Linked DNA regions of Oryzias latipes. The protein of the gene in region 1 binds, or shares a complex with, the protein of each later gene. Links are inferred from orthologs where the notes say so. Each region holds a gene or a part of one and is shown on either strand. Other genes may lie near its edges. The genes, in order: gcc2 and rab6a.

Region 1 (17,788 bases):
AACAAAGAAGGAAGTTTAACTCTATAGCACAACCAAATCAATATACCATGACAAAAGTTCTGTTTGGTGGTTTGTTTCCTGTATAATATTAAAAATAAATGCTGTGCTAACAATGCTGCTAGTGTGAGCTATGAGAAAAATTTAAAAAGTCTATTTTCCCTTGATCGCCCGTCCAGATGTCTCTTTGAATGAAAAGCATTGTACTGGGAGGAATAAAACCACATTGAAGACCAGATTTATGCTCAAAAAGCAACCTACACAAGTGTAAGTTGATGTTTTATGTTTTGCTTTTTTTACTTGACTTTATCTCTGGACAACAACACTTCTAAATATGAGACTTGCAATTGTACTTTTAATACCTTTTTAAAAATGTTCTTGCATTCTGAGTGGATATTTAAATGGATTTTTTAGAATAGGAAAGCAGATACACATTTGCTAATATTGTAGTCTAAGGTTTTTTCTCTCCTTGTGTTCGCAAGGATTAAGAATATTAAAAGAAATTCAAAAATATATCCAGTGGCATCTATATTTGTATTCATTTAAATTTACATGTAAACAGTGGCTACACATTTATACATAAAGGACTTTATTAAATACTATGTGTGTCCCAGGAGTTATTTTCCTGTACTTTTCCAAGTGCAGAGGTCTTTTCCTTTCTTGAAAGTACTTTACATTTACTTTCTGTCTTTTCAATCAAAATAACATGTTTTCTTTGTTAAAGTGTTAGTATATTTTTGTAATCAGAGTGCTCCTTCCTCGGTTCTGTTTTTTAGGTGGCATTCCAAACACACAAACCTGCCCCTTCTGCTCATCTGGAGTTATTTAATAGTGACCTCTTTTTGTGCTCCTTTACACACCTGGTTAAAATGCATATTCAAATGTTTTCTAATGAGATCATTTAAGTTCAACCAAATGTTTCCTACAAGAAGCATATTATAACTGATGAATTAGATGATATTCATTAACTTCTTTCATTTATTCACCTCTTCTGGCAGCACTCTGAGACTGCTGTAATTCCACTAATGGAGTACTCACCATTAAGGTCCACTTTTTTGACAGTGACTGATGCTGCTGAAATAATAAAAAAAAGCCTGAATGGTTCCCAGCTAATGCTAAAAGCAGAATTAAGTACTGCGACAGGCAGCGTTTGTGACTTTTTGCATTATTATCATTACATGTTTCGCTGAAGCAACAGCTATCTTACAAGAAAACAGAATGATACAAAAAATGTATTTAAAAAAAGTAATAATGGGCATGTATAATTTAACAATACTGCAGAATTTAATTCTTTAAGTGCTATGTCAGACACGGGCATTAGATATACAAATAAAGGCTAAATTTGCAGCCGTGAATGTCTTTCTATAGAAGTACATTTACAAGGTAAATTTCATCATAGACTTATAACCCACAGACTTTTTTTTTCTTGGAGAGACATTGTGGAGTTGCTGAGTTGCCAAACAACATGGGAATTGTGTGCATATGCAGTGCTGGTTCTGTGGTTCTGCAGTGTGCGCTGGATGCTGAGCTGAGGGTTAGCCAGCACTTCCATTAGTTCCTAATTGAAACTGAGCAGTTGTGAGAAATACATTCAATGAGGGTTATGTCTTCCTGAAAACCACCCACACACAACTGCACAACATGCCCAGAGAGGAAAGGCCACATCTCCACTGGAGAGATGATGAATAGCTTGAAACAAAAAAAGGAGACAGAGGGACAGAAAGAAAGAGAAGCAGAGTGTTTCAGTAACACTAAGCAGTAAATCCAGTTGACTCATTGCTCTTAGAGCTGTTGACTATTTGTTTCTAACTTTGCTGCAGCAAAAGAAACCAGATTTTCTCTGCTTTGCACATGCTTTGTTTGTATTTGCATCCGTGTGTTTGTGTTTCTGGCAAAAATGAAAACTCTCTACTCACCCTGGTGTGTGGTTTTCCAACAAAGACCTGGGAGCTTAAGGCTCCTGTCTAAGGTCTGAGGTCTTCCTAGAAATTAGGTGTAGTCACTCCACCAGTTTAGGGGTTACTGCCCCATGTCCACAACGGCTTTCCTCTGTTCTTTATCTTCAACTACCATGTCTGGTTGGTTCATCATTACCATCCTGTCTGTATGTATCTTAAAGTCCCATAAGATCTTTGCTCACTTGTTCTCCACCACTCTTGATAGACAATGAGACCTTAACCTTTGGTCACACTTTCTCATTTAAATGAATGGGAAGGTGTGTCCAAACTTTTTGTCTGTACTGTAAGTCCATATACAATTCCAGCCAATTGGTCCGTGTATGCTTTCTCTGCCAGCATCTTACACCCTGCAGTTATGTGTTGGATTGTCGCAAGTGCCTGCACCTTGAGTCTTGTGTTGTGTGATAGATCTGGGCCTCTGTGGCTCTGTTGCTCAGGGTTTGTCCTGTGCAGCAACTGAGACAGAGCAACTCCTTGTTTTATGCCACATTTGATGGACACTTGTGCAAGAACGTTAGCATTGGCTTAAAAGGGGGTTTTCTACAACCTCATTGAGTTTGCTGAAAAGGCTCTTAGAGTCTGGTCGATTTTGTACAGCTCCTAGTATTCAGTTTTCCACGTGTGTGGTGCTGAGTCATGGGCTATCCTGTAATCAATCCAGGCACTGCAGAGGGTTAGTGTGTCATGACCTTCAGTCTTGAGTGACTATTTTGTTAACTAGGAGTTGGTGTTTGGCTCCCCTAGTATCGCTACCACTACTCTTCAGTGCATTGCTCTTGCATTGATCCATGTGCCTACAATGATGCCTGGGATGAGCTTCCATGTTGTTGGCAGGTAGTTGGACTGAACCCTTTGAGGGATTCTTCTGTATCCTTCTGTTCACTTTTCCATAAGCCATTTTAGAGAGTCCCATCTCTTGTTTATTCATTTCCACCACTCAGTTGTTTCACTTTACGTAACCCTATTTCTTATTGTCACTTAAACACTACAATCATACATATTCATTTTGTTTCAAAAATTCCATTAATAAGGGTTTGTACAGGATTTTGAAAGGTTGGAGTAAGCATGTGTAAGCAAAGAGTTGTGTTAGGAAAAGAGGCTGTAATCAGAGCTCAGCGGGAGCGTAAGTGCAGACGGATGCAGGTTGTTGCCATCTTCCTTGATGAAGTGCTGTTCTCCTGCTGAGCCACCAAACTATTTATACAGCAACATGGACAGCCTGGGGGCAGGAAGGACAAAACTGCAACACTGTCGGTTCCTTCTTCCTGATCACCTTTTTCTCACTTTGCATCCGTTCACAAAAAAACAAAAAAAAACAGGTTTCACATTTGTAGTATGTAAAACAGCATTTGCAATGGAGACATGTAAATATACAGGGCAGCATCACTAACAAGCACTTTTGTCCATTACAAAAGAGGATGACCCTGCGCAGCTGAGACTGACATTCTGTATAAATCTGTTTTTATAAAAGTCTAAACATTCTGAGAGTCGGATCGAAGGTCTGATCAAAGGTCAGCTGTGGAGCGTGCTCCTTAGATCAGACGCCGAGCAGACAGCATGCATCATCAATAATGGACTAGCATCCCTTGGATCACTAGCACACATCTACACACTTACAGAGATGGTAAGGAATAAATGTCGCTTTCACAACATTTGATCTAATCAAAAAATCCATGATTGTACAAATACAGATATGGTCAAAAGGCTTTTGCCCTCAAGTGGTCAATGCAAACATAAAATACAAACTACAAACACACACTTACAGGGACATACAGTACAGACCAAAAGTTTGGACACACCTTCCCATTTATTTGAATGAGAAAGTGTGTCCAAACTTTTGGTCTGTACTGTACATATAATGGACTTTTGTTTGGCTCTCAGCAAAATAAAAACTGATATATTTACACAGAAACACAGGATCCAGTAATCTATCATCTTTTTCCAGTTTATTCTTTTCTATTATAATTGTAAATAATTACATCATTTAATACCATAGGATTATCTCAAAGATACCTTCCAACTATTAAAATTTTGATGTTTTGGCATTTTCAAAAAAATTAAATCAGCATCTTATGTAAAGTTCATATTTAAAACATTTTTATGCATTCATAAGGAAAAGCAAAAATCTTTCTAGATTAATGATTGATGCAATAATGGAGTGCTTTCTCCTGAGACTTTGACATGCAGCCTATACTATTAAGCTGCTACATAAACATAATTAACAGGAGCTCAAACAATACAGTCTTTCATATTCTGGGAATGCAGATCCTGAAGTCAATTATTAGTGACCTCGCGCTCACAGCATCATGTTGTGAGAAGAACAATCTGAGAGGTTCAGTTCCCACATTAATACATGAAAATGTCAAAGCTATATGTTAAAATGTCAGTTTTCTTAATGGCACTGCCACTCTGCAGAAGTAAAATGTCAATAAGGAAAGAAATACAGGAGACATAAAGAGAAGAGTGAAGCCATGTAAATGCTGGGTGAATGGGGATGGGTTGAAATAAAAATGTGAATGAGCACTTTAGCAAAAAAGGCTGCTGAAAAGATATCCTTATAATACTTTACAACTGCAGAAAAATTAATTATCTCACAAATTGCTTATAAGATATACATATTTTTACTGTCAGCATTCAAACCTACCAACATTCCCGCTTAACCTCATCTGTCAGCCTGTCCATCACCACTGCAAACAAAAAAAATCTTGTTGACTTCCATTATTTTATTCCACTTGTTTCTCAATTTATTGTACATGCAAACATTTTTCAAATTACAGAAATGTAATAATTTCTGGTTGTCTGAAGAGGCTGCACAGTTAAACTCCCGTCAAACCGCAGGGGTCAACAACTCAAAACTATCAGTCACCATTCACTGATTGGCTAATAGGGAGAATGTTGGGGAGGGTGGATATAGTAAAGGGTAATGGAACACTTCTGTGTTTGCAATCTATTGATTTTTTATTTTTGTTTTGTTACTGAAGGAGTCAAGAACTTCACGTTCTGATTGAGATCTACAAGAAAATCTTCAAAATTGAAATTTCCCTCTAAACATTTTTTACATCAGCACATCTGATCATACAGTGTATTCATTACACCATCATAAAACATACGTTGGAACAGGCAACACAGACATTTACACAATAATATAAATCATTCATTATATTCAACTCTCATTCTAATACATACAATAATTATTGAGATAAGAGCTGGGAAATAAGATCACCTGAAAAAAGTAGGCTTTTTTTAAGACAAGGAATTTAAAAGCCTACTTGGTTATTGTTTTAATAATGCAATAATCCACACCTGTATCTGTTTAGATATAACTCTGAATAGAATCAAAAATCAAAATTACAAAAAAGAAATTAATCCTCTGAACCTGTTTTATCCCTTTCGGGGTGAAGAGACTGTCAGAGCCTATCCCGGCTACTCATGGGCGAAGGCAGGGGACACCCTGGACAGGTCGCCAGTCTGCCACTGGGCCACAGATCACACACCCATGCACTCTCACATTCAAACTTAGGGACAATTTTAGAGTAACCAATTAACCTATGAAGCATGTTTTTGGACAAAAAATGTTAATTTTCAAGTATTGAATGGAAGAATCAGGAGAAATAATTGGCATTTTGAATCCCTAACATCATCTAGGTTAGGAAGTGTACATCTGCCAGTGGGAAACATCAGAAGAGCACCTGATACACTTTTTGTGTTTGTGGGGTTTATGTCAATAAATGGAATGTCTTATGCTCCATGTTCTATTTAGTATGTGGCAAATGCCAAAACAAAGCTACCAAAGCAAAATCAGAAAGAGAATCTAAAAATACCAGGAGTAAAACAGCATCTGTTGCTCCTCCAGATAGACTGAGCCGGTTCATTCATTACTCCCTTAACGCCGGCCGGTGTCAGTTATATTACTGCAGAGCTGTGCTTGACTGACGGCCACAAGTGGGGGGAGAGAAATCACTGCACAATGCTGGTGGATGCACTAAAAGAAAACAAGGAAGCAGCCATTGATGGATGGGTATGTTTGACCCAGGCAGGGTGGAAGGCAGCAATGGGTCTCTTCCAGATGAGACAGGGAGTCGACAGAGTCTCTGCCCCTCTGATCAGACCGTGCCAGCTTTGTCAGCATGAGCGGCATCTTGCTCAGTTCTCCCAGTTGGTGCCTCCATCAGTTGTGTCAAAACAGGCGATCTCCATATTCAACAGATGGAACTGGACCTTATGTGATAGGAATACAGAGCCTCCACTGACTTTCTGACAACCCTGTTGTCAGAGTGATGAAACAATGTCAACATCAGACACCTTTAGTATATTTTATGCATCATGGATTGCCATAGACAGATTCTAAACCCTTATTTCAGGGTTTAGAATCTCTCAAATGAGAGAATATTTTTTGCAACCATCTTTTTAATACTAGATGTGAACTATAGGAGTGTATGCGTGAATTTTGGTGCCTTGAATAAAAACAGATTTCGTTTTTTATTATTATACAGTAAATCTGCTGAACACATCAGAGCTGACTTGATTTCATGCTCCAACACGATGAAAAGAACTGTTTTTCTATTCAGTTGAAATAATTTGAATAATGATTCAAAAAACTTTTTTTTAATGTGCACAGTGTGTAAAAAAATACTGTAATAAATGTGCATTTTGATGTACATTATATGGGGGGGGGGGGGGGGGGGGGGCGTGATGCAGTGTTAGGACCTCGGATTGGAAGATTGCAGGTTTTATTCACGCTTTTCCCACCTATGTGTCGAAGTGTCCTTGGGCAATACACTGAACCCCACCTTGCCTCTGGTGGGAGGTTGGCGTCAGTGTTTGGCAGCAGAGCCGCCATCAGTGTGTGAATGTGTGTGTGTGAATGTGAATGTGTGTGTGAATGAATGGGTGAATGGGCCTGTGACTGTAAAGCGCTTTGGGCCTTCGAAGAAGGTAGAAAAGCGCTATATAAGTGTACGCCGTTTACCATTTACATAGTATAATTTACCACAGAAAAACTTAGGGAATTTGTTTTGACCACACGTTTCCAATTTTTTTTTCTAATTTTTTCCATTTTTATGAATGAAAGAATACTATATAAATTAATATGGTGCAAAAACACAATATAACTCAAAAATACGTTTGAGTCAAAGTTATTCGAAATTACTCAACAAGATGAAAACATAACAACAATAACTACAACAACCATAACAATAATAATAATAACAATATAATAATAAACTTATAATAAATCTTAGTATACACACACAAAACCAACAACAAACATTAAAAACAAAAATAAACAATTAAAGAGCAAAGTTTGGATTTATGTAAATTGAACCTCATAGCCCTAAACATTTTGATAACTTTTTAAGGTTTTATGTTGAGCAAAGAGGAGATTGTTTTCAAACATAGCTGAAGTTCCATATGATTTTAAGTGAGTATGTTAATGTTCAGGCTTTTTGTTAGCAAATTTACTTTTGTGAATATCAAATGTTGCCATAAATAAAAATACACAAAAGTATAAAACGTCACGATCCTTTTCAAACAAAATTAGGAAAACCAAAAAAACGACATTTGTATTATAAAGTTGAAATTCAGCAAAGAATGAAATGTTTCGAAGTTCCTTTTTTTTTGGCGAATACAAAAGAGAATACTACAATTTGAAAGGAAGCAAAAAGAAAAGGAAAATTCTTGTCAGTATGTATACATAAACCTATTTATATTCATAATCATAGAGAAATCAGGGAAAAGTATAACATAGGAAAACAACAATTTCAGAGTTGGATAGTGTTATAAAATGCAGGGGGATACACAATATAAATAAACTGTCTTAGACATCGGGAATTGGTTCGAGGTTCCTACCTCGAAATGTGAATAATTCTGACGTCACTTGCTTGGCTGACGATTGCGGAAGTAAAGTGCTGCTCCAGTCTGCTATTTCAGAATCATAACAGTGGAAGTACCTCTGACTTATATAGTTGGAGTATTAGAAGTATTTTTAGGTGTTTATTTGGTTTTCTTTAGCCATCTACTAGTTACCTCTGCGTGTGACGGAAAACGGTGACGGAGATAAAGAGTCCACTGTCAGGATGGAGGTAAATGTTTATGTCGAGCTGTTAGCTGTTAGCTAATCAGCTCTTCTCAGTTTAGCAATCTCAAAGTTAGTTCCGTGTCCTTCTTAAGTCATATAAACCGAGTAATGGTCACGTTGAAAGTGATCAGAGTTGTATTTTATCACATTAATGAAACGTAGTATTTATATTCGAGGAAATAGTAAGTAGCTTCAGGGTTTGGTGAGCATTTTTTCTGTTTTTCGACGAACTTTACTTATTTCTTCCCACTCCCCCCCAAAAAGGGGTTAAAAATCCAAACTATCAAATAAAAACAACTTTTGTTTGAGATTTTTTCCAAAATGTCAACACATTGAATGGTTTTTCGTCATGCATTTAAAGGAACCTGGAGGTACTGCAGCTGAGGCTGTGACTCCATCATCAGCAGGTGCATCAAAATCAAAGGTAAGGATGTTCAGCAAATACACTCCCGTTTTTGCTCAACTGAAACTTACTTATAATTCTCTGTTTATGTGTTAGCTTTGTTAATATTCACTGTGTGCATGTTGATGACGTTATATTGAGACTGTCCACATGTGTGCACATCACATTTTGGGTTTTTAGTACCACAGTAGTTGATTCTGCTTAACTGGGGCTATATGACTATGTGTGTAGAAGGTTAGCTCAAACATTTTCTTGGGTCTTGAAAAGTAAAAATTATTGCTTTGATATTGATATTTCTTTTATTTATTTATTTTATTGTTCATTCACAGCTGGACACGCTGTCCAAAGATGACCTCATCAAATATGCCAAAAAGCAAATAGCTGCCATGCAAAAGATGAAGAGCAAATGTTCAGGTAGCTATGAATGTTGTACATTATTATTTATCTGTCCGTCATAAATGCAGTCGTTTTCTTGAATGTGACTTTGCCCTTGCAGATTTAGAAAAGGAAGTGGAATCCCTCAAACAACAGCAATCTAAAAGCGGTGACGGCAATCCAGATGACGCTGCTTTGTTTCAGGTTTGTGTCTAGAAAGTGACTGCATTGTCTGTTATTGATACCCCTCTGTCAAAAAAATTTTACTTTCACACTTAATTGTGTGGATGGGTGTGCGATATAGGAGCTGACTGAGAGGATGGATGCCTTATTACTGGAGAAGGCCGAAACTCAGCAAAATGTTACACTCCTGCGTAAAGAACTGGAGAAGACTAAACAGCAAGCTAAGGTTATCTTCACTACAGATACACAGAATGACAGTTTTATCAAATTCTAATGGATTACCTGTCTGTTTGTAAGTGTGATTAGTTGCAATGCCAAATACGCATGTTTGTAATTTTGTGCAGGAGGATTTAGCGGCTCTTCAAAGTGAGCATGAGCGTGTCATGGAAGACCTTCAAAGGATGATCAAGAACATGGAAAGCAGCATTCAGGAAGCCAACCGTAAACACCTGGAAGAGGTGTCTCATTTCCAAAATTTATTAATAGAGCGAGAAGAGAGAGACAGGGAGAGGGAGAGTGAAAGAGAAAAACAGCGGCAGGCGGATTATGCCATTGAAAAAGAGAGGGCAGAAGAAAGACGGCGGGACTTAGAAGTTCAGCTGGAAAGACTCAAAGCTGAGCTGGAGGATATCCAAGAAAAACATTCTCTAGAGCTTTCCAAGATTCAGGAGAACTACCAAAGGGGCTTTACAGAGGCCCAGCAGGAGGTGGAGAACCTGAAGGAGGAGCTGTCACAGAAAAGTCTGCACCATGAAGAGGAAATGAGAACTCTGGAGGAGGACTTTGAGCTTGAGCGGGAGCGTCTCTTGTTGCTCAACGAGGAGCTCACGGAGCAGCTTGCTCTTAAAGGTACAGCAGCCCCCTAATTCCATGTTTCATCAACTTTTCCAACTTACTTGTAAATAATGAAAAAAACCTAGTCCAATGAACATGAATTCAATCCTTTTTCTTGGTTGTTTTCAGACAGCTACCTGCAGGACGTTCAGGAGGAGGATGAGGAACCTCCCCGTGGTTCGGGAATAGCACAAATGCTGGAACTGTCAAGGAAAACCCAGGCAGACTGCTCTGGCGATGGGGAGGACTCTGAGAGCAGCAGGCTGGCAGCAGCTCTGGAGGATCTTCAAGCTCAGAACACCATGTTACAGGATGAGCTCACGCTGCTCAGCAACCTGAAAGGCGAGCTTGAAGCAGAGCTGGAACGAGCTAAGGAAGAGTTCCAAACGGAAAGGGAAGAGCTGGAGTTCAAGATCAACGAGCTGCAGCTGATTAAGGACAGTCCATCCACTGAACCTAGAATGATTCTAGATGCTCACTATCAACATGAAGAATTGAAAGAGTCGACAGTTAGCTTAGCACAAGACCAAAGCTCCCTGAAACTTGAGGAGCAGCAAAATCTGAGCCTGGAAGTAAGAACCCAGTGCGAGGCCTTGATCAGAGAGCGAGACTCTGCTTTGACTGAGTGCCAACACATGAGGAACATTCTTCAAAGCACTGAAGCGGAGCTCAGTGAGAAGACTAAAGATTTTGTTCTACAATATCAAGCTATGAAAGAACAGGGAGCTAGTACAGTCCAAGAACTTCGAGATACCATTGAAAAGCTCAGTCAAGAGAGAGATGACGTTTTGGGCAAAATGAATGAAGTTATAGAGGAGAAAAATGCTCTGATGAAGGATGTACAAGACCTTAGGCAGAAGCTGGAATGTCCACCCTTTGAAAACCAAGAAATGCAGTCATCTGAGGAGGAGCAAACTCCTTTAGCCTGCAAATCCAAACCATCGGTGGAGGACTTCACCCAGCAGAATGAGCAGATCCGCTCCCAACTGGAAGAGCAGGAGAACATGATTCAACATTTAAAGGATTCTGTCGCCACGCTGAAAGAGGAGCGAGACAAAATACAGAACTTGCTAAATCTCAAAGAGGATGAAATGCGGAACCTCAACGAAGAGCAAACAAAAGCAATGGAAAAGCTGGAGCAGGAAAAAGCTAAAGAGGTTCTGATGCTCAGAGAGGAAAAAGAGAATGAGCTGAAAAGCTTGAAAGCAGAAACCCAAGAGAAAGTGAAACAACTAGAGGAAGAACGAGAAAAAGTAAAAGAAAGCCTGAAAGAAAAGCTGGTGAATAAAGAGATGTTCTTTAAGTTAGAAGCAGCAATCAAAGAAATGTCTGATGAGAAGGATAATCTCCATCAAAGGTTGGAAGACATTTTAGTGGAACTTTCCAATGCTCAAAAAGAGAAGGACGTTTTGGGCTCCAAGGTGTTAGCTCTGGAAGTTCAGCTTAAGCAGGAAGCATCTGTAAAACAAGAGCTAGAAGAAAAGTTGAAATTAGCGACAGAAGATGCAGCACGAAGCTACGCATCCATGCAGGCGCTGGAGGAAAAGCAGTCTCAAATACTCCAAAACTCCACTGATGAAGTCGAAGAGCTGCGAGCACGTGTTGGTGAGCTGGAGCAAGAGAGGAACCTGTTGAAGAGCAGTCTAGAGGAAGCTCAGAATGAATGTAAAGCTGAGGAGATGCAGACGGATCTACAGACGCACATTAGAGACCTGGAGAAGGAGAGAGACATGCTGAAAGGGAACCTAGAGGAGGTGGTTCATGACATGGAGGGGCTCCAGAGAGACCTTCAGGAGATGAAATCGCTCAATGAAACCGTTTTTGATGAGAACCAGACCTTACAGGCTCAGGTCTCTCAGCTGAATGAAGCAAAGGTGGAGATGGAGAAAAGGATGGAGAACTTGGAGAAAGAGAGCAAAGAGCTCAGAGATCAGCTAACAGAGAAGGAGTCGCTCATATCTCAGCAGAGGGGGGAGGTGGCTGCTCTTCAGGTGGGTGTGGCTGTTTTCTCATGTTGGAGTGGCATTAGGCTTTTCCACAGCATGATTTCCCCTTTCTTCAACATATTATATAATCAGATCAATAAGTCCAAAGGTTTTTAATTTTTTTTTTTTTTTTTTTCAATTTACCCTCTAACTTTTAAAGGAATCTGCTGTCCAGTCTGCTTCCTCTGAGGAAAATACATCTGAGATGACAGACAGGCTAGGTGTTTTGATATTCGATGTATTATTGCACTGCTATATGTGGGATTACATGTATAGATTCATGACTTTTTCCATTCTTTTTTTTCCCCTCAGCTTTGCTACAAAAAGAAATCAAGGAAAAGGGTGAGAAGATGAATAAAATCAAGGCAGTTGCTCTCAAAGCAAAGAAAGAGTTGGACATCCATAAGAAAGAGGTAGTGTGAAAAATCCACTCCATAATGAGGCTAATTTTTTAGTGCTTTGAAGATTCAAGAACCAGTAACAAAATTTAGTTTGAATTAAAGAGACGCCTTTGTTTTGGATCAGTAGTAATTTAGAAATAGTGGAAGCCATGAAAAACTACCAGTACATTACATTTTATTTTTTTAAGGAACTGGTATTTAAAAATAAAACCCTAAAAATTCTGAGATTAAAGACACTTTAAGAAAAAGTGAAATTCCCTGTTTCCTGGTAGATATGTTTATAATATTACCTTATTGCTCTTATCTTTTCCCAAAGGGAATATACTCGCATCTTTTTAGTTTTTTTGGTTTTCTTTCATCCTTATGTCAGTCGTTTCTTTCTTTTGTCTGTAAAGACCAAACTTTGAATAATCACTTAAGGGTAGATTCCACAAACTAAACTCCTTTTTGTTGCAGGTTTTGAGTCTTAAAGAGGAAGTGGAGTCACTGAAAGCAGAAAGGGAGAAAGTAAACAGTTCAATGAAGGATATCATCCACAGTGCTGAAGGCTACAAGGTAAGAAACCTGAAGTCTAAGACAAACAGCTTTAGATCTATTCCACGATAGTAAAGAGGCCTAAATACAGAACAAGATGTTTTTCTTTTTAAACCCTAAAAGTGATATTGATTTAGGAATTTGTAAATAGTAATAATAATAAATCCTAATCAATTTGTCTAAAGAAACATTTAGATTTATTCTTTATATTGTGGATTTTTAATTAATAAAAAAAAGAATTTGGAAATGTGAAATAGATAAAAGTAACTGCATGTTTTCCAGCTGACTCTCCAGCACTGTACCTCCAACTCATCCTCGTCTTGTATTCTCTTTCTGTCATGGATGGATCCTGGTGTCTTTCTGTTTTAGAGTCTCCAAATTAAAAGCATAGTTTAACTTCACTTAAAATTAAACCGTTCGAATTTATTAAATTAATTACAACAAGTGAAAGCACGCTCCATTTAAGCAGACTTGGTGTGCAGTATTTACTCCCAGTGGACTATAAACAGCTCCATGCTTTACAGCTGTGACTCCATTAAAGCAGAAACCATTCTCTTGTGTCTAATGACTTTTGGCCCATCTTGGAACATGGATGCAGCTTGAAAAACTGAGATGCAGTGTTTACCTTCAGTGAACTGTTCCGCCTGTAATGAATAATAAAGGGACGTGCGGCTCCGCGTCTTTGCTTAGAATCTGCAAATAGATTATGACAAACGAATGGAGCAACTGGATCTGCAGAGGGAGAAGGTGGAGGCAGCGGAGAGACAGATTGCTGAGCTGACCAAACAACTCAGCAGTGCTGTCACACAGGTAACTGGGATGCGCACTCAATCACACGCACACACGTTGCTACTAACCAATACATACGATGCTCCAAGCCTCCAGTAAATCTATGCGCAGAGGCTTTGATAGGTCTCAGCGATATTTATGCTGTTGCTGGCTTTCCAAATGATTTACAGGGGGTCATTTTAGCCGGCAACATTTTTCCGAGATATGTCTGACAGCCCGGCGCTCACAAATAGCCCATCAGATGTGACTGGGTGAGCAAGGGAGAAATTGTTTTTATATATACTCCTTTCCCCCTAAGCCCATAACTGTCTCTTTCCAATGAGAGAGCAGGCGGGTAAATGTAGCGGGCTATAGCTCCCATCTGCTGCGTGGTGGTGCAACACCATTCTCTGAGACAAAGCTTTATTCTCATATGCACTCAAGGTTCTCTGGGGGGTGCGGAGGGATGCAAACTGATGCTGCTTAGGAAACTCGGAGTCTCTGTTTACCGATCATGATTTTCAGAGTTTGGCTGGCAGCCGATTGGAGATGAAGCTGGCTGCTCAGTGTTGCTTTCAGAGAAAACCCTCAGAGCCTCTCTGCTGTCAGATCCACTTGGATGGCTTTGAGCGGTGTCACGTCTGTTCGTGCAGGTTTCAGATGTTTAAAGTCTATGGAGAAAACCTTGGACAAAAGGGAGACAGAGCCTTTTTCTTTTTTTTCATTCAGTTTGAGATTTAAATACAATACATTCATTAGATCACCTACTGAATGTTTGCTTCAATTCACAACAAAATCTTGATTAGTTCATGGGACAGTGATGAGTCGTATCTTCACTGTTGTAGAGGGAAGCACTAAGCAGTGAAAAGGAGGACTTGAATGCCGGTTTGGAGACGGCGAGGAGCACAGTGAGGCAGCTGGAGACCAAAAACCAGGAGCTGCAGAAACAGATAGCAAGTCTGGACAGAGATCTGTTGGCTGAGAGAGCAATGAAAGAGCAAAAGCTTAAGGTAGAGGTTTGCTTAACATTTTTGGCAGAATTACACAGCATGTTTTTAGGGGAGCCTTTGTAAAATCCAATGCGGCTTCATCAAGAGGAATTTCCTCATTTCTCCAGGACTTGGCAGCTGCCACAAAGGAGGTGGAAGAACTGACAGCAAAGCTCCGCAAGCAACAGGAGCAGTCTCAGCAGACTGCCCAGGAGCTGGAGCAACTGCGCAAGGTATGCGCGCACAAAAGCCTCTCAGGCTGGAGTGTGTGCCACAGGTCCTGCCCGGTCAAGCGGCTGAGCCGGTGATGGCTGGCCTGGAGCTGGAGTAGGACCCCACTGACAGAGATAGAGCAATTGTAGCCCACAGTGAAGGAGTCTCTGCTGCTTTCACGTTAATGGAGACCTACATAGTACAGCAGTATACATGGAAGCTGCCTGCAGGCTGGACATTATTTTGTGTCCATTTTTCTTATGCTAGCAAAGGAATCTGAGGCTGATTTCATTGTTTATAGATAAGCAATAGTATATATTTGAGAGTATTTTTTGTTTGTTTCAAAAAGAAAAAAGAAAAGCAAACACGAAAAATCTAGGCGTTACTGTAATTTTTGCATTGAGTAATGAAAATCATTTTAGTTATTTGCTAATTTTTATTTTTTTAGGTTTAAAAAAATAAAAAAGTGTCTGTAAATGCACCTGTTTAACAAGAATGTTTTTTTTTGCCTTCAATTCTGTAATGCCTGAGAAAACAGTCTGTCTGCTCTCTGACTCTTTTCAGGCCTGTTTTTAAAGCTCTTTATTACGGTGGCCCTGAAGTTCAAATCACATCGAGACATAGCTGAAGGCAAAAACATATTAAAAATCTCAATGACAAGTAAACAATAAAAGCAAAACAAATTGTAAAAAAACTACATTGCATTTTAGAAATCAAGCATAAATCCCAAAAAACAAAACACAACCAAAAAAGGAAACAAAATAAAAACATTTTGGTAAACAAAAGGAATTTTCATAAATAAAAAGAAACAAAATAAAAACTTTGAACATGTAGGTGCTAAGGGACATCACTGATTGGATGGTTTCAGCTTTAACTTCAACCGGAAGTTATTTGGTACGAAGCGCCTGAAACCACAAATATGAATGTTACTGGTGACTTAAACAAAGAGCAGCTAACCCTAATCTACAACCACAGCAAAAGTTAGTGATCGCTCAATCAACCACAGTTTGGGCAGACAATCTTTCTGCCCAAACCGCCCCTCTTCTTAAAAACTCAAGTGTCATCATCAAATCAGTGATGTAACATAGTTCCTACCTTTTCCAGTTTCTTATTCTGTTTTATTTTTTAACATTTTCTTTTATTTCTGACTGTTTCTTTTGCTCTCCGATTTTATTTTATTTTTTTTACATTTTGGTTTTTAGAATTTTGTTTTGATTTCTAAAATGTGGTGTTTTTTTATTGTTATATTTTTAATGACATTATGATCTTTAATATGTTTTTGTGTTGAGAGATTTATTGATGTGATTTGTTACTAAGAGCCACCGTTCCTTATTCCACACAGGACAACAGTGCTTTTATTAGAATCCAGAAAGATATCCACATCCTCTCTATTTTGGATGTTTTAGTAAGTGCATGTGTGTTTGATGCAGCAGCTTTGTTTCCATTCCTTTGATGAGCAACAGGAGTCATTTATTGAAGACAGAGAATAGAAAAAAGCTCTGGAACATCCACAGAAACACATAGACCACGTACAGCAAACATAAAGGCCAAATTTATAAATCGTTTTAAGGATTTGTATTACTGGAAGATGTTAAAATCCTTTGACAAAGGTGAATGAAATGTGAAGTTGAGGGCATTTCTGTTTCTTTGCGACTGGAGTTTCTGTTGGGTTTTTGGACTTGATGTTGAATGTTCTTCCAGGAGGCCCAGCAGAACTCCCTGATGGACATGGAGATGGCTGATTATGAGCGTTTGGTGAAGGAACTCAATGGCAAAAATGCAGACAAAGACGAGCAGATTAAGGACTTAAAAGCCCAGATAAACACTCTCTCCCAGAAGCAGGAGGCGTTCAAGAAAGAAATAGGTAGGGATCACTTTTGAAACGTTTCTGTTTCATTGAAGTCTCATTTGTTTTCATTTTTCACCAAAAATAGTAGCTCTACACAATGTTTATATGTCTGTGTTCTGATGTGCCAGCTTTAATACATTTGTTTTTGGATCACTACAGGATTCCACTTTTTTCAAATATCAGCACTTTAGTTAAATTTAAAATTTGTTAACAATTACTCAGTTTGGATTCCAGAAAGTTATCACCAAATTATTTAGGTTGTGTTGAATTTGCATCTTTAATTACTATTCTAGGAAATGAAAACATTAAAATGGCAAAACATTTCATCAAAAATGATTGTTTTCCATAAACTGATTTTGCAGCAATCAGATAATTGTTCATTTGAAGACAGAAAATTGAAAAAAGGCAAATTAGCATATTGATAATTAATAAGTGTCGATAATGAGAGGATCCACATGTAATTAAGCATTATTGTCAGAAAACCTGTTCTCTCTACAAAGAACATAACACAACTAAACACTGTTGTCAATCCTATTCTCAGTGAAAACGGAACACACATGTACAAATTAACATTCAAATCAACAGATTGTCTTTGGACAAAACAAGAACAGAATAGAGATCATTGTTCTTAGTATTTAGTATTTGTTAAGCAAAACAGATTTTTTTTAAAAGTCTTAGGACTGAGATCTGAATAGCACGGTGGTGGAAGGGGAGGATTTAGACTTAATCACAAAACTGTTTGGATGCCAAGTTACTTCACAGACAAACTTGAAGCCACTGACTGTTTAAGCTTGAATTAAGCAATACACAGAAGGAATAGCTTAAAAAGATGTTGCAGTGTGATTGTGTCTATTTTGTGGTCATGGTGCCAGTTCAGGAAAGATCAGAGGATATGAACAGGAAAAGGAATTGACTGCAGTTTGCTTTGAAGTGTGTCACGGAGAGACTGACGAGGGAAATTCAAATATCAGCATTTTCCAAACGTGGTTTCTATGCATTAAAGTCATTCCAAGCAGTGCAAATGTATCTTGTGTTTGTCATGACTGTACTTGCGCTTATGCCCATTTATACATATGTGTCTCCAGAGACTCTGAAGTCCCAGGTGGACCATGAAGAGGAGAAGTGCTCTAAGATGAAACAGCTGCTGGTAAAAACTAAGAAGGACTTGGCTGACGCCAAGAAACAGGTTTGTTTGTCTGGAAGGATGACCTTTTTTCTGTGCT
Region 2 (15,998 bases), on another chromosome or scaffold:
TGCACATTGAATACAAAGAAGACAATCATGTTGCTCTCGTGTTCTCACTTAAAAGGTTCATGCCATCGTTCCTCCGCCTGGGCTCCTGGAACGTGGTGATGTTTGTGACGTACGAGCAGCTGAAACGAGCTATGATGGCTGCCAATCCCAACAGCTCGACTTCAGTGTGATTATTGCAGTTTACATAAGGATCATTCACATGTCTATCAGCAATAATTTCAAGAATCTTACAGTATTAATCTGCATATCAAGGAAGAATAACAGATGAATCTAATCTTCATAGCCAGAGCTCAGAGCCTGCTTGATCAGGCCCTTGCTGTCAGAGGAAAGCTTTTCTGGAAACTGGATCTCAAAGGTGATGATGAGGTCTCCTCTCTGGGAAGAATCCTGGGATAGGGGCATTCCTTCTCCTGTCACCACCTTGTTGTACGCTGGACTGATGTGTTTTCGACGATGCAGAAAAGAAAATAGCACATTACCTTGACCTGATTATGTAACATTTTTATAAATAACTTAAAATTTTTTTGTTGTGTTTCCTTTCTCTGATGCTAAACGTCATGTCAAGTTTACAAAAAAACGGAGTACTGCATTATGCAGAGCTCATAGTAAATTTTTCACTTGCAGCACGCAAAAGCACTTACTGCACAATGTCATTGATAGGAATGCTGAGTAGCCTGCCATCTAGTGTTGGGATGTCCACAGAGAAGTCGGTCAGTGCCTGTTCAGATAAGAATCATCATCAGTCTTAGCTTCAGATGAAAACAAACAGTTACAACGCCATTACATTACTTACATTCATCAGAGAGATCTTGAGCTTGTAAATAAGGTCGTTGTGTTGTCTGATAAACAGAGGGTGACTTTTATGTCGCACTATTAGCACTACATCTGCTGGAGTCCTGTCTGGTCCCTAAAAAAGGTTTGATAAACATAAATAAACAATATGGGCATAAAAGGCAATCATATTAGAAAATCGAAATACTTCGGGAAAATCAACCTATACACGGCTTTTACTTTTTTTTTTAACTAAAAAAAGCAAAAAATAAAACAATTTAATTAATAAAAGAGGATCCTATAAGAATTCAGAAAAACAATGCTGTAGAGACTTACAAAACTGTGCCTTTTCATTACTAAAACTACTAGTATTAATAGAAAACAAAATACACAAACAGAATGCCGGTGATTTAAAATGAGCAAAGAGAAGGTCACAGGAAAGGAATTTTACAAGTTTTTAATGCTTCTTCGTCATATGATATTCATCAATACTAATCATAATTCATTTTATAATGTGAAACTATTTAAATGTAATATTGACTGATAAGTCAACCAGTGAATGTTGCTTATAACCAAGGGTAATTTCTTTATAACATCGAGTAGAATTTACCTTCTTAAAATAGTTAATCTCTTTCATTTAAACAATTATCATCCTCATTTTCATTATTAGTAATTTTATCCCATTTTCACCAGGAACTCTCACACACATTTGGTGAATTTCACAAATTGTTTGAAAACAATAAAACAAACCAATAAAAACACAAATATGATTGACTATTTTATATAGAAAATCAACTAAAATTTTATATAAAGTAAACGAATTAATTGAAAGAAAACTACCCAAAAATTTGTAAGTAGTAGCTAATTTTCAAGAAATAAAAATAAAAATGGTTACAACACACTCCTTATTAAAGCAATTTCAATTTTAAGCAAGATATATAGATGGATTGATTGATTAATATTAGGACGTTTTGCGGGGTTATGGGAGTTATTGTAACAAACACCAATAGGATCATATTATTATGACATAAGCTGACACCAAGAAAAAATAATATAAATTAGTTTCACGTGAGTTTTGATACATAATAAAAAGTTTCTTAAAGACTGAATTTACTTGATCTCCCTCTTTTGGGAAAACGACTCTTGTGCCTTCGCGCCATCCTGGCTTCACATCTACAGTCAGAATCTTATCTTTGATACAGGATGTGTGTCCATCATCATTCAGAACCTGTAAAGAAAGTGAGGATGAGGAAAACCTTAATGAACAAAACTATTGTAACTGTTTTATTAAATAATGAAAATGACTTCCACAAAAGTTGTTAGTGTTAGAATAAAAATTACCTGTGAAATCATTTTTCAAAATAAAAGCCTTAAACATGTGGAAAGTGTGGCTTCGTTTGTCCCAGAGATTTTTTTAAGTAAAATTTTTCAAGGTTTTGCCATATACCAAAGTTGTTTAACTTTCTTTGCTTTCTCCGGGTTAGGGTTAGGGTTTTGAATGCAGCAGATCTTACCCTGCGTGATATCTTGATTTTTTTGGTGCATCCCAAGAAGAGATCCTCAAGAGTCAAATAAAGCTCTCTCTCTATTGGGGGGTCCTGCGTCTTCTCCAGTTTTGTTTGCGGCACACCAAACTGAAGTGGTGCATCTTTGGTGAAAAAATCTAGCAAAAGATTAACATTAGTAATTGCAATGGATAGGTTTTCAAGACAGTATTTATACAACGTGGGGTTTTTGTTTGGGCTATTCTTACCTGCAAATGGGTTGTCACCTCCAAAAAACTGTCTAAATGTTTTGTCTGGATTTCCATGGTAGGTGTATTTGGATGACCAAGCCCCATCACTGCCAAACTCAGGTGGGATGCCAGCTTTCAGGCCCTCCTCACCAAATTTATCATAGATTGCCTTCTTACGAGCTTTAATTAAAAAGGGAAAAAAAATTACTTCTTCGTAAGTACTTTTACATTTATTTAGAGATTATTTTATGCTATTCTTAAATTCCTGCAAAGCTCTGAAGAACTGAATGCTAAATGCAGCATTTTTGTCATAACAATATTTTTAAAAGGTCACGTGAGCGACGGAGCAGCCCGGTAAAGAACGTGAACCGTGAAGTCTTACGGTCGCTCAGGACATCGTAGGCTTCACCCAGCAGGGAATACTTCTCTGCGCTTCCAGCTTCAGCGTTTCTTTTCGGATGAAACTTCACAGCCAAACGTCGATACCTGCGCAGATAATAATTTCATGACTTGATCCAAAACAAGCAAGCAGCAAATAGAAGACAGAGCTAGCAGCAGGTGATTGATTTCTTTAAAAGTAACTCACGCTTTTTTGATTTCAGCGTCAGATGCTGTCCTGTTAATTTCAAGAGCCTCATAGTAAGCGTTGTTCAGGCTCATTACGATAAAACCCTGACGGCAAAAACCTATATGTTCTCGACGAGTTTTTTTTAGACAATCCGAAGAGAAGTCCGTACGTTTGGGTTCGCTGCCTTGGCAACCACTGATCGGACCTCTCGCGAGATTTAAAATGAATCTGAATTTGCTGGTATATTCAACTGTCTTGACCAGTGGCGGTTCTACCCTGAATTACTCCCCGGGCGAGACCCTCCCCCGGCCCCCCCCCCCCCCCCCCCCCCCCATAGTCACAACAGAACTTTGTTTGTCTTTGTCAACTGACATGTTATATTGTCATTGAAATTAAGAAGTGGATACAAAAGATGTCAGAATTCTGAACAGCATTATAATAGTTATCAGAACACAAAAAATAAAAGACCATAAGCATGGCAAAAATACAGTTAGCTAAGAAATATTAAATCAATATTAAATAAATAATATAAAATAAATATTTTAAAAACATTTATGAATTGGAAATTTAAATTGTCATGTTCTATATCGATCTCTACTTCAGAGAAGAAAAATTAGCTCATATTTTCCGTCTTCAATCCTTTGATTGGAAAATTTTCAGTTATGACCTGTTGAATTATGTTTTGTCCCCATAGATTTGCAGTAAATGGTAAATATTCATTTTTAAAACTACCTTCAGATTTATGGAAATTCTATTGGCTAAAAATATAATCCCACATTTGTAAAACAAATAAAAAATAAACTTCATATGCAGGCTCAAAATTAACCCCTAAATCCCCAGTTAAATGTCAAAAAAACATTGGGAAAACGTTTAGGCTGCCACAAACGATTATTAAATTTAAGACCAATCTCAAATTATTTGCCCCATTAGCATCTTATGGCAGCAGCAGCATGCTGTGTAACCATCACAGCTTTTTTAACATTATGAACTAGTATACAACAGCAAAACCCAACAAAACCTTTGTGTTACAGCAGAGCAGACAGACACATGAATCATAACTAATGTTACAAGTTAAGGCAGAGCAAATTTTTAAGAATAAAATCTAAAAAAAAAAAAAAAATGACGCTATTTGCAACATTTGGGCCTACTTCAGTGTTGGTCATCGACCAAAATAAAGTTTTCATCGGCAACATTGTTGTAGGGCAGGTAGCATTAGAATTTAGAAAAGACATGCATCAAGCTGTGAGGACTTACCCTTTTCTTTATCTCTTTTCTCCTCTTCTTCTTTTCTTTTCTTTCTAAATTGGGCACCAGATGGCTTTGACCTTTTTTTCTCCATATTTTAGATGTTTTTGGCGTTTGTTTGGCATAAATGTCCTCACGTCACGAAGAAGACATCAAGTCCGTCGACTGAACCAACTGTCACCTTAGTGACAGCATTGTTTTGTGTTGCCATTTTTTCATTTGGGCATTTAACACAAAATTAACCCAAAAAAAGCAGAATATATTTTCTATACCTTTATTAAAGTGTAGGTTATAGAATGTCACCTTATGACTGACTTATAAAAAGGTTTTATGAAGTAGATTCAAACCCCCGCCCTTGTCCCCACCTAGCCACTTAATTTGGAAGCGTCCCACAATTGAACTGATTCCCCGCAGCCCCCCCCCCCCCCCTTTCTTCACACATTTCCAGCAGGAGCGCGTGCAGCTATAGCCAGGGGCGCTGATTCGCTACATGACGGCGCAGTCGCAGTTTTTACTTTTATTTTTTTCATCAAGCCCGCGACCGTCGCCTCCCCTGAAAGATGAGCCCGCCAGGTTTTGCGCATGCGCAAACGCGGTGGCGCTCCGTGCTCCCCCCGCGCCCCCTCCCTTCTTCTTCACACACATTTGTGTCTACTTCTCAAAGACAGGAGAGCGCACAGCTGCGGGGCGAGGGCGGCGGCGCGGCCAGGTTCAGGCTGTTACAAACTCACAAACTGTGACATAAGTAAACCAATAGTGGTGCATATAATATTTTACAAGGGCTGAGCCGCCGGTGCCGCCCCCCTTCAGTTTTCCGCCCCAGGCCACCGCCCGGACGGCCCGTGCCTAGAACCGCTACTGGTCTTGACATAAATAAACTAAAATAGTATTTCAAAATAATAACACACACAAACAGTAGAGACAAAGAGACCCTTAATCAAATAAAAAACACGAAGACATGTAAAAACTACTTAAAATGCTAGCTAAACAACGAGTTTTTCATTAAAACCTCCACAGTGGAGGAAGCCATAACATCCTCCAACAAGCTGTTACACAGTGCTGGAATGTGGCCTCGCCATTGGGTTTTAGTTCTGACCTTTTGGACCACCAGTGGACCTGCAGGATCTGGGAGGGTCTTGAACTAAGTAATGGTCCAGTTCCATTAAGAAATTACTAAACTAATAAAGGTTAAACAAACCACAGCAATGATGGAGTGGTCAGCATGCTAACATCATATAACTGATTTTAAAATTAAACAATCACCTAAAGACAATATGTCCTGGATATTCATCAGATGCATTTACATTTTGTGCCATGTCAACATTTATAAGTTTGGGCTTTTCTTTTTTAAAGGGATTATCCTCGTCAGTGAACATTTTCAAGTTATTTTTTTGTGATTTTCAGTGAATGAAATTATAAAATATGGATTTTAACAAGACACTTTCCTTTTTACCTAAAAATAAAATCTTAGAAATGTCCCGTTAATATTCAATTTTCCTTATTGCATGTGACTTACAGCTGTGGGAATGATACTCATGAACTCTAGTCATGGTGACCAAAATTGTATATTTATTCTGTCATTTGAAAAATCATTCCATACAGAAACGTTAAGGACACCCATATTATACAAATTGTACTTTCGTTCATAAGTTTACACAAAAATTGCACAATATTGTCAGTATAATCAAGATACCACCAAATAGTAGCAGACGGGACAGCAGATGGTCAAATTCAGTTAAAAAAAAAGTCCAGAGAGATGCATATTTTTATTAACGACTTAGGGACTTTTTTTTACCAAAAGTGAAGATATTAACAGTCATATAAAAGAAGCATGAATCCAACAGAATAAATATTTCAAGTCACTATGAATTAAATACATGTTGATCAATCCCTAACAACAGATCAATGCTCAAAGTAAAAATTACCCCCCCCCCCAAAAAAAATCAAAGCTTTAAAAATGTTCTTACCAAACTCATCTACTCCAACCCAAAGCCATAGAAGTCCTCCGTACTTATACTCTGAAAGGCATAAATCTGCATATCTATCCTGTTTAAGGTGGGTGTTGAGAAAATGCCCGCCTTAAACACTATTAAATAATCATCTATGACACCGCAATTATAATCTTTAAAAAGAAAGGGTTTATGCAAAAAGCAAAGATTAACCATAATAAAATGAAAGCAAAAGGTAAAAAACCATTTGATGGGTCATTAAGATGAAGAGAAGGACGGTAAATGGGAGAGATACCTTGGCGTGCTCATGTCAGAAGGTAATGGGGTTTTTCTTGTCAGTGTGAATTTGCAAATAGTGAGAGAAAAAAAATCCTTTTACAACAACTAACCTGGGTCTTGACCTAAAGCGCTGATTACTGTTTATGACTGTGAGAGCACCATAATTATGCAGGAAGCGTGTCTGAACTCAAACCCAATAGATGTTCATTTAACTCATTTAAATGTGCTGATGTTTATGTTTATCAATGATAATATATACCGGTAAAAGGTAACAGATTTTGCATGGAATAAATCAACTCAAACCACATGACTTCAAAACATGAAAAATGTCAAAGAACATTTTTCACTATGAAATACCTTGATTTGATGACTTGCAGAAGACAATTTCCTTTATTTTTTTTCAAAAAATACCCCAAACTGGCTCACTGCTCTTAAATCACTATTTGCTCTTTAAAAACGATTAAACAGAGTGTCAGCAGAAAGACTCATTTTAACTGTATAAACTCTTCTGTCCAATTCATGCAGTGCAAATACTAAATTTTTAGTGATATGTACATTTTAGAGTCTGTGGATGAGAGCACGTGTTCACAACAATGAGGACAGCAGATGTAGTGTTCTTGCAGTGGATATAGAAGGGTGCATATATATTTATAAAAACAAAACAAAACAAAAAATGAAAGAAAAAGAGAAGAAATAGCTTTCCGAAAAAGCCACTAATATAGGCGAAACCATTAGCAGGAACAGCTTCCTTCACTGGCAGGCTGCTCTGGAGGTTTCTCCAGTTTTATGTCAATCACTGGAAGGTCACAGAGTTAAGGAACACCAGAGAGCAAATAAAATGCATTGGCTATTTGGACTAACAATGGTACGATAACCTTAATCCAGTGTGGGTCTGTAAAGTCAGATTTCTATCATTCATGATCTCAGGAGAAAATCATTTTAAGTGACACAAGAGTTAAAAAGTGAGATGTTAAAGTGCAGCAATAGGGCTTTCCCCCTGGCAGTGGACACGTGTGACATTATATCAGATGACAAGTAGGCCTGCACAATATACCGCAAATTTATCGTTATCGCGACATCAAGCTATGCAATATGCATACCGCAAAAGACGCTGAAAATCGCAATAAATGGTTACCTTGACCCTTGTGCTATCCTAGGCACTTTAACATTGGGAGTTGGGTCATCTAGACCCACTAGACCAGGGGTGGGCAATTCCAGGCCTCGAGGGCCGGTGTGTCTGCATGATTTCAAGATAGCCTTTCCCTACTCATGGCTGATTACCTGGTTCAGGTGTGTCCAGCCAATTAGAACATGCCAGAGCAGGGTATGCTGGAAAACATGCAGGAATGCGGCCCTCAGTGCCCACCTCTGCACTAGACAGTGCTCTGAACCTTTTTTCTTCAATGATTTGTGATCTTCACTGGTGTCCATGGATTACATGAAATCTTTCCACCTTTATCCACCTTTGTCATGGTAGGGAGAACACCTCAATGTAAGGGTGGGGTCATCTAAGATAGGACAAGGGTTAAATGAGCTAAAACAAACTCATGGCAGCTTGGAATATTGAATAAATGAAATAAATCCCTTTACGCATTTAACCAATCGGAAGGACCTGTTTACGTTGTTGATCAATCAGATGAGCCCTTTTATGTTTGATGTTTGCCTCTTATGTCGACAAGGGTCATTTGGAGTATAATTTTTATACTGTTGCATTGAAATGGAAATGATGTTTTTGGTTGGTTTGATATTTGTTTATATACTGCAAATTATATCGTTATCGCAATATTAATCACCAATATCGCATATCGCGAGTTTTCCTCATATCGTGCAGCCCTAATGACAAGAAAGACAAAACAGAGCAAGGTGAACTCCAGACTCATGTCAGATCATGGCACTGCCATGCAAAGAAAGGATACTGTCCTCTCGACTCTTGTCTTGTGAGGTATCCATGCCAGGGAGGGCGGCTGCCACACGGCGGAAAAGCTGCAGAGGATAGAATCTACCATTAATGTCTTGAGTCAAAGACAGATGTTTAATACAAGACATCTGTAAAAGAAGAAATGCAGATTTGCATGCATCTGATTTTTCAGAGGTCCTGCAGAAACTTGCACAGTGGAAGACACCTAAAGGTTTCCCAAATGTCATAGTCTGATTTACTGAAAAGACTCATGTGCCTTTGACAAAAAGGCAAATTATTTTTGTTGAAAATACTAACCGAGTTTGGATATAAACAAATACTATTTTATTAATGACTTTTGGCTTCAGTTTTCTGCTTGGGACAAAGACTCTTGACTCAGATTGGTGTAATTTCATGCACATGTGTTCTGCTTCAGTAAACACTCTAATTAAATAAAACAGTTTTCTAATGACCATTTACAGTCTAGTTGTTTTAAGCTATTAATTACATTTTTAAAGGCGAATAATCATTAATCTTTACAATGCTGTTTGGTGCAATCATGTTAAAGGCTTCAAATCCTTTACTGACATTTTTTCCTTTTAATAATTATTATTATTTAGTTCTTGCCAAACATCAACTTTAAGGTTTCATTAATATTAGTATCCGCCACTGAAAAGTTTTTTAATCCCGATCATGCACATCAATCAAAAGATTGCATCAAGTGAATCTTGTCTGCATGGAGATTCTGCTGCAGCACCGACTGAATATTGTTGTCTATTGGTGGTTTACAAACTCTCACTCAATTTTAAATTTTACAAATAAAAAGTTGCCCAATACATAGAGAGAATTTGCAAAGCCAGTCCATGCACCTCATTGCAAGCTGATGTTCAGAGCACATGTTGTGGAAAATAGAAGCCAATCAGAAAAAAAGGCAGGAGTGCAATGAACACATGCACACATGAAGGTGCACAGCCTCTACCTGTTTGACATTGTAGCCTGTCTTTGCACTTGTTTCAATAAACAGAACATTCATCTCTTTTGCTCTCTGTTCTCCTTCCTCTGTGGTTATCTGTCTGTGACCAGCCACAATCACAGAGCACCCGCAAAACAACCGGGAGACGCACACACCGACGCACACATCAACACGCAGACAGGAGAAAAACAAAAGAACAGCACAGTCTATAATTATTTGACAGTACACTGGAAAGCCGTGCCCCTTCCTGCTGCGCTGCTACTGCCACCAGACCAGAAGACCAGAAGCCTCATGAGTCCACAGCCAGCACTAGAGATGCATTTAAGACAAGATTTAGATTCTCTAACCAAACGATGCCATCACATTTTTAGAAATAATCAGATTTGTAGTCAATGCTTAATCACTAATGATCTGTCATCATGTCAGCGATCACAGATTATTAGAGATATTTGAGGCTTCTGGAGTTGAAGCCCAGGGCAGCATCGGCAGCAGGACTACAGAGCACGACTGACACACAACTTTACCTGCTTTACGTTGTAGCCCGCTTTCGCACTAGTCTCAATAAACATTACATTTAGTTCTTTGGCTTTCCGTTCGCCCTCTTCAATAGAAACTTGCCTGTGGTAGATAAAGGTGTTGAAAAGATACACAACTAGACAAAACACAGCGTCGCTTAACAAGTCAATCAAATGCATCATTGTAAACATTTGCAATCATGGAAAATGTCAAATAAACAATAGCTTTGGTTATCCTGAAGAACACAGAAAAACAGGGTCATCAGTCGAAATGTGACTTCAAAAGGGAAAGCCTGCACAGAAGATGCAAGAAATTACCTTTTGTCAGCCAGGTCTGTCTTGTTTCCCACCAACATGATGATGACATCACTTCCTCTCTCTGTTCTAACGTCATCAATCCATTTTGTGGTTTGCTGGAAAGAGTTAACGTCTGACAGAGAGACAAAAGTTCATCCCAAATTCAGTGAGGTAGCTTAGCTGTGAAAGCTGCTGGATCGCAGCACAGAAGTCCCATCAGTCTAGTGATGCTAAATCACTCACTCGTGATGTCGTACACAACAACAGCGGCAGCAGAGTCTCTAATATAACTTGGGATGAGGCTGCGAAAGCGCTCTTGTCCTGCTGTGTCCCACAGCTGCAACCTGATCTGTGGGGCAGGAAGAGGATGAAATGAAAAATGAAAGAGAAGAAAAAAATAAAAAAGAAATAAAACACAAAATCAAGATGAAAACAAACAGATAAAGGACCCAGTCAACGCGGCCAAAACGAATATTGAAAGAAAATTCTTTCAGACTAATGGAGAAAAAAAAAAGAAAAAACAGAAAGTGAATAGAAAAGAAGTAACACGTGCATGTTGGGAATGACCATCAGAGAGAGTAAGCTGTCTGGGCCTGGGGGGGAAAGAAATAAACAGTCACCTTTCATTTGTCACCCCCTCTATTGACCAAGTAAGGTGTTTCATTTAAAAGAAATGTGATGATTAATAGATGATGGAAAGGAAAGGAGAGGAAGAAAACTTCAGTTGAGGGAAAAAGAATACAGTGAGGCCTGTCCCGACGGTACAACAGGACACTACAATGTTCTACATGTGCTTTTTGAAGTGAACACTTAAAAAGTCAGGCGCTTAACCAGTCAGATCAGTTGTACAAAAGCTCACCGACCGTGTGAGGTGATTCGGCTTTGCATGGCCTTCACACAAAACCCACGCCAATCAAAACAACAAACAGGATTTACAAGTTAGGATAGGAAACACACAAAACTTACTGTTCTGTCTTCAAGGTACATGGTTTTTGATAGGAAATCTATTCCTATTGTGGCCTGAAAGAGAAAAAGAACTTCATTATACAGCTATAATTGCTTTAAATTAACACGACAAAATACAAGGTACATTAATGCTTAGGAAAACAGGCAGTCTTACTTGGTATGTGTTGTCAAAGCTGTCATACATGAACCTGGTAATCAACGAAGTCTTTCCCACTAAAACAGAAATAAAGATTAAGGGAAAAATTGAACTTTTCAATATCTATATGCATTGATTTAATTTTTTTGTTTAATATTGAGCACAAAATGTAGATTTTTTTAAGAAAGGAACACAGGTTTTATCAAGTAACGGATTTACATTTTATTACGTCGAATCAACAAATGGGTGTAGAAATAACCCCTATATGATAACTACGATAAGTGTTTAGAGAATGCATCCATATAGTCCAGTTTTTTAAGATATGGAATGACATTATTTTAAAATGGAGGGTTGAGGAACAGTCGGAAGAAAGGACTGGGGTCTAGGTATTCAAAACAGGATTTTTTTGTGTGTGAATTTCTAAATATTGTGGCCTAGATTGACCCAAACATGGCATATCCTAAATAAAAAACAGTATGTTAATGATCACCTGTTCAGACTTTATGACATTTCTTTAAAAAAATAATCAATTGAAGTGGATATCCATGTTAGGCAATCCTTCCTGTCCTAAGACTGTTTATTACTCGAGTTACGTTATCAGTTTCAATGAGCGACAAGGGGGACAGTGACATGGCTCAGGCCAACATGACTGTTCACAGAGGTCACAGACGATAACTATCGGCTTTTTTTGGATGACTCGTTCCGTAGGATGAAACACTTCTACTCTGTATTACTCCACATTTCTATTATGTTACTCAATTCCCAGCAGGTTTATGAAAGCGGATATATGGACGTGATCATAACTATCTTACTGAAAGCTCTGAGTCTAACACTTAGGCAGAAAATGTTCTGAATGCAAAACATGTATGCATGTAGATAAATTGTACATTTGTAGATAAATAAAGTCTAAAATAAATATAAACAAATTAAATGTGTGATGGTTTGTGACTGTAAGACGGTTGTTGGTTCTAATCCTGGAAGTAATCACTTAGGAGAAATCCCATTATAAAAACATTAGATATAAATATTATAGGTCCTTCAAATACTTAATGTTCAAATGAAAACATTCTAAACCCACCAGGAGGTTGCTGAACGGAGGAAGGATCTAGGATCCTTACTGTGTGCTTTTAAGGAAACTCTTGCGAGTATGGTAGAGTGAGTTATCTTCCTGTGCTCACGCGGACTATAGGAATTTAGAAGGGTAACATACCATAAATAAATAAAATAAACAAATTGATTAGGACAACACTTTATCTTAATAAAAATACATCATGTAAGTTAGCCTATTATTTGCTAGGTTAAGAAACAGCCTCATAATAAATAATATACTGTCTACTACTTCTTAATAATTTACAACTTTCCACTCTTAACATGTTACATCTTACCAGTGAAAAGACAAGTCAGCAAACACAATGAATTACATGATCAAAACGTGAAGAATGATCTGTGATTATCCTCGGAGTCCGCGTCCACACTACAGGCAGCATGATCAGCAGTGTTTTTATCCGGTTTCAAGTAAACGCAGCTAATGTTAGCTAGCTAACTACAAAGCGGAAGAAAAACCAGGCATCCCGTTAAACTCTGGTTTTCAAAAGGAAAGTTTATCACAATAATATTGATAACATACATTCCTCGTAAAGGGAACCGTAACGAGAAAAACTTACCACTTTGTTCCCCGAGGAAGACCAGTTTAAATTTCCTTAAAGGGTTCCCGAAGTCTCCGGCCCCAGACATGTCGACGGAACCAAAAACGAACCCAGAAGGCGCCCTTAAGTATTAATTCTAACTAAGTAGCTATTGTCTGTTATCAAGTGTATGGTATACGTAAAGTTCAGAAACAAAGTTTGGTAATCAATGACAACTCCTTTAAGCTCCAACACACTTTCAGATAAGTCGGTAACTATTACTGCCAACTGAGCATTACTTCAGACTGTCATGGCTACCAGCAAGCCCCTCCAGACACTTCTTCTGTAGACACATCAGTGTATGATACGTGTGTAACAGTGCTACCACGCCCTCTGCTGGTGCTCAACCAGCAAGGATGGGAGGGAAAAAAATGCCATACTATTTTTTATTACTTCATGTTTCCATACGAGGGCGCGCTAACACCACATTATTATTATTATTATTATTATTATTATTATTATTATTATTATTATTATTATTATTATTATTATTATTATTATTATTATTATTATTCATTTCACATGTTCTATTTTCAGGACTCCTTTTTTTAAAATCCGTCTGATTTCCCATGAATAAAAGTTATACCAATAATGAAATTTTAACCTAAATTATTTATATTAGGTATTAAACCCAAATTCTTGCATGAGCTCTATTAAATACATAACAGTGTGTATAGACTTAATTGATTGTTTGTAAATTTTAAGTCAGAAAATTTTGGGTTTTGATGCAGAGATAGTAGAAATAGTTATAAATTTTGTCATTATAAAGGGGGTCTCATGGGGGACTATTCAGGTACACAGCTGAAGTTCTGCTATGTTTACCAGATGAAAGAATTATGATAAATCTAATATAACATTTTTTTGTTAAAAGTAGCTTAGAAAAAAATGGCATGTAGTTGTATGAAAAAAGTCAAAGCTTTTATTGAGAAAATTTCTGATTTTTACATCTGTTGTAATATGTTCCACATTTTTGCTTTCAAAAATTCCTGGTTGTTAAAATGCTCTGATTACCGAGGGCTTTTGACATTTGTAATGCTTTTGTGGAACATCCTTTTCTCCAACCAGCTTATAGTCATCAAATCTTGTACTCTTTTTACAAATGTTAATGTTTCATTTGGTATCATAATGACATAAAATGGGAATTTTTTACCAGGGATGAAATTTTGACATGCATGATTCTTTATTGTCCAGACTTTGAACAATCGTGATTATTCACACAACATACTGTGTAATATTTGTAATTACAACTAATGTATAATATAATTGTTGTTGTTTCCTTGGGTCTAACCTCATTTGAGTATAACTTTAATGCAATGAGGCTAATTGCAAATTCTCCTAATTTGATATTTTGTATTATTTTTATACAACCCAAATTTTTGCAGCAATACAAAATTGTTTGAGATATAATTTACATAAATACATGTGTAGTGTTTTACTACAGTACAGTCTGCACATTTCTGCCTACCTCAGCTGTTCTAGGTCAGTTAAGAGAATGCACACACCTGCGCCCCTCTTTCATTCTTGTGTCGTCCAGCTCCTCTTACAGCATTTATCAGCTGATGCTGGCACTTCAGCTGCAAGGTTTGTGACCAAAAGCGGAGCTGAAGTGGAGCCATCATGGTTCACTAGCTTGCCCGTCTTCTCTTCTTTTAGCCCTTGTACCGCTAATGTCCTTGGTGAGGGGAAAGACCTCCTCCCATTCCCTCAGAAGATGCTGAAACGACAAAATCTATTTGTCTCCCCACAGCATGTCCTGCTCTTTCCCTGTCTTCCACATGTGAGGGGGAATTTTTTTGTGCATTTTTTTTTACGTTAACAGTTATGTATTGATAATGGGAAGGTGGTCCCACTATTTCAAAGCATAGCAAGAACATCTAATTCTGCAGAATAAATTAGAAAAAGTTGTAATTGTAATTGAAAGTCGCACAATTGAACAGAGGGGCAGCAATAATGAATTGAATAATGAACCACTTCCAGCTATGACTTCATGCTGGTGTGTTGGTCACATGCTTTGTCAGTGCATCATTTACTTCGGCAAATTTTGAGTCGTTGAGATGGGAAAGACCTGTTATGACTCACAGATTGGAAATGACTCCATGGAGTTCTTCGTTTTGAATGTAGGATTCTCTTGTTTGGCTTTTTGTTTTTCTTTTTAGGAAGATAAAAAGTGTTTATCTGCTAGATGTGAGCAGGTTAATTTAATTGGATCCATCTCCCTGCATCTGTGGGCTTAGTGCAGGGCGATCATCACTTTTCCGATCCACCTTCATGTAAGTGTAATGACTGCAGCTTTCAATGTCACAGTAAAGTACAACACAGTGCTCATTTCTCTTGGGACAGGGAGAGAATGAAGGATTACTGTAGGATGTGTGGAGGACATGAAGAAAGGACAAGACAGGAAAAACAGGAAGGGCAAAGGCATTGGGTCAGGAAAAAAAGGGGTAAATTGAAATGTCAGCTAAATAAGTGTAAAATGCTAGAGTGACAAATATTCAATCCACCTCCTGGATTCACTTGTTTGATGTTGTGGGACATAAAAAAATGGGAGCATTTAAAGTGCAGCCCATTTCTCGCACCAGTACAAAGGACTGCAGGGAAGGCAGGGCAGAGGGAACAGTATGATCTGCAACCTGTATATTCTGAGCAGCATCAGAGACATGCACAGCAGTGGGAGGCATTCTTGCAAGCATAAGTGAACCACCAACCCGGATAGCAATCCAAGCAAATTTACCAGAGGAGGCGGGGAAGCATGGAGGGAACGGGAGGTATGAGAGGGAGCAGATCTATGAAAAGAAGAGGAGGAGAGGGGGGGTGTTGCATGCTCACGGAGAGTGACAGAGACAGAGCAACGAACAAGAAAGAAGCTCAGAGATAGAGAGGAGAGCACTGAGCAGAGATGGGGACCGATCACTGACACAGAGCTAGTTGGAAGGACTGAGATCAACACAGAACAAAAGAAGAGAAAGAGGAAGTGAGTGAAGG

What was found.
Region 2: the proteins of gcc2 (region 1) and rab6a are in contact, whole or in part, in a crystal structure (PDB 3BBP), measured with the Homo sapiens proteins. The link is inferred for Oryzias latipes from reciprocal best matches to the Homo sapiens genes GCC2 and RAB6A. Residues at the interface, in NP_852118.2 of Homo sapiens: Thr1585, Ile1588, Leu1589, Glu1591, Gln1592, Leu1595, Leu1596, Glu1599, Arg1602; in NP_942599.1 of Homo sapiens: Lys15, Ile46, Gly47, Ile48, Trp67, Arg74, Phe75, Ser77, Leu78, Ser81, Tyr82, Asp85.

Annotation. Positions count from the first base shown.
Region 1 is NC_019879.2:17,162,161-17,179,948, reverse strand, and holds the start of gcc2 (GRIP and coiled-coil domain-containing protein 2), read left to right. Parts: upstream 1-7,632; 5' UTR 7,633-8,029; coding exon 8,030-8,035; intron 8,036-8,392; coding exon 8,393-8,455; intron 8,456-8,763; coding exon 8,764-8,848; intron 8,849-8,930; coding exon 8,931-9,013; intron 9,014-9,113; coding exon 9,114-9,218; intron 9,219-9,336; coding exon 9,337-9,841; intron 9,842-9,955; coding exon 9,956-11,817; intron 11,818-11,971; coding exon 11,972-12,032; intron 12,033-12,123; coding exon 12,124-12,224; intron 12,225-12,668; coding exon 12,669-12,767; intron 12,768-13,436; coding exon 13,437-13,556; intron 13,557-14,359; coding exon 14,360-14,524; intron 14,525-14,631; coding exon 14,632-14,736; intron 14,737-16,417; coding exon 16,418-16,580; intron 16,581-17,650; coding exon 17,651-17,751; intron 17,752-17,788. UniProt on the Homo sapiens protein: Golgin which probably tethers transport vesicles to the trans-Golgi network (TGN) and regulates vesicular transport between the endosomes and the Golgi.
Region 2 is NC_019872.2:16,402,235-16,418,232, reverse strand, and holds rab6a (ras-related protein Rab-6A), read right to left. Parts: upstream 13,314-15,998; 5' UTR 13,066-13,313; coding exon 12,996-13,065; intron 12,737-12,995; exon of another isoform or gene 12,717-12,736; intron 11,409-12,716; coding exon 11,350-11,408; intron 11,250-11,349; coding exon 11,196-11,249; intron 10,579-11,195; coding exon 10,473-10,578; intron 10,363-10,472; coding exon 10,251-10,362; intron 10,036-10,250; coding exon 9,942-10,035; intron 9,518-9,941; coding exon of another isoform or gene 9,424-9,517; intron 8,531-9,423; coding exon 8,464-8,530; intron 7,344-8,463; coding exon 7,279-7,343; 3' UTR 5,866-7,278; downstream 1-5,865. Other genes in the region: ucp2 (mitochondrial uncoupling protein 2), read left to right, coding at 56-170; dnajb13 (dnaJ homolog subfamily B member 13), read right to left, coding at 271-436, 642-718, 794-907, 1,886-1,999, 2,286-2,434, 2,525-2,686, 2,889-2,992, 3,093-3,166. UniProt on the Homo sapiens protein: The small GTPases Rab are key regulators of intracellular membrane trafficking, from the formation of transport vesicles to their fusion with membranes.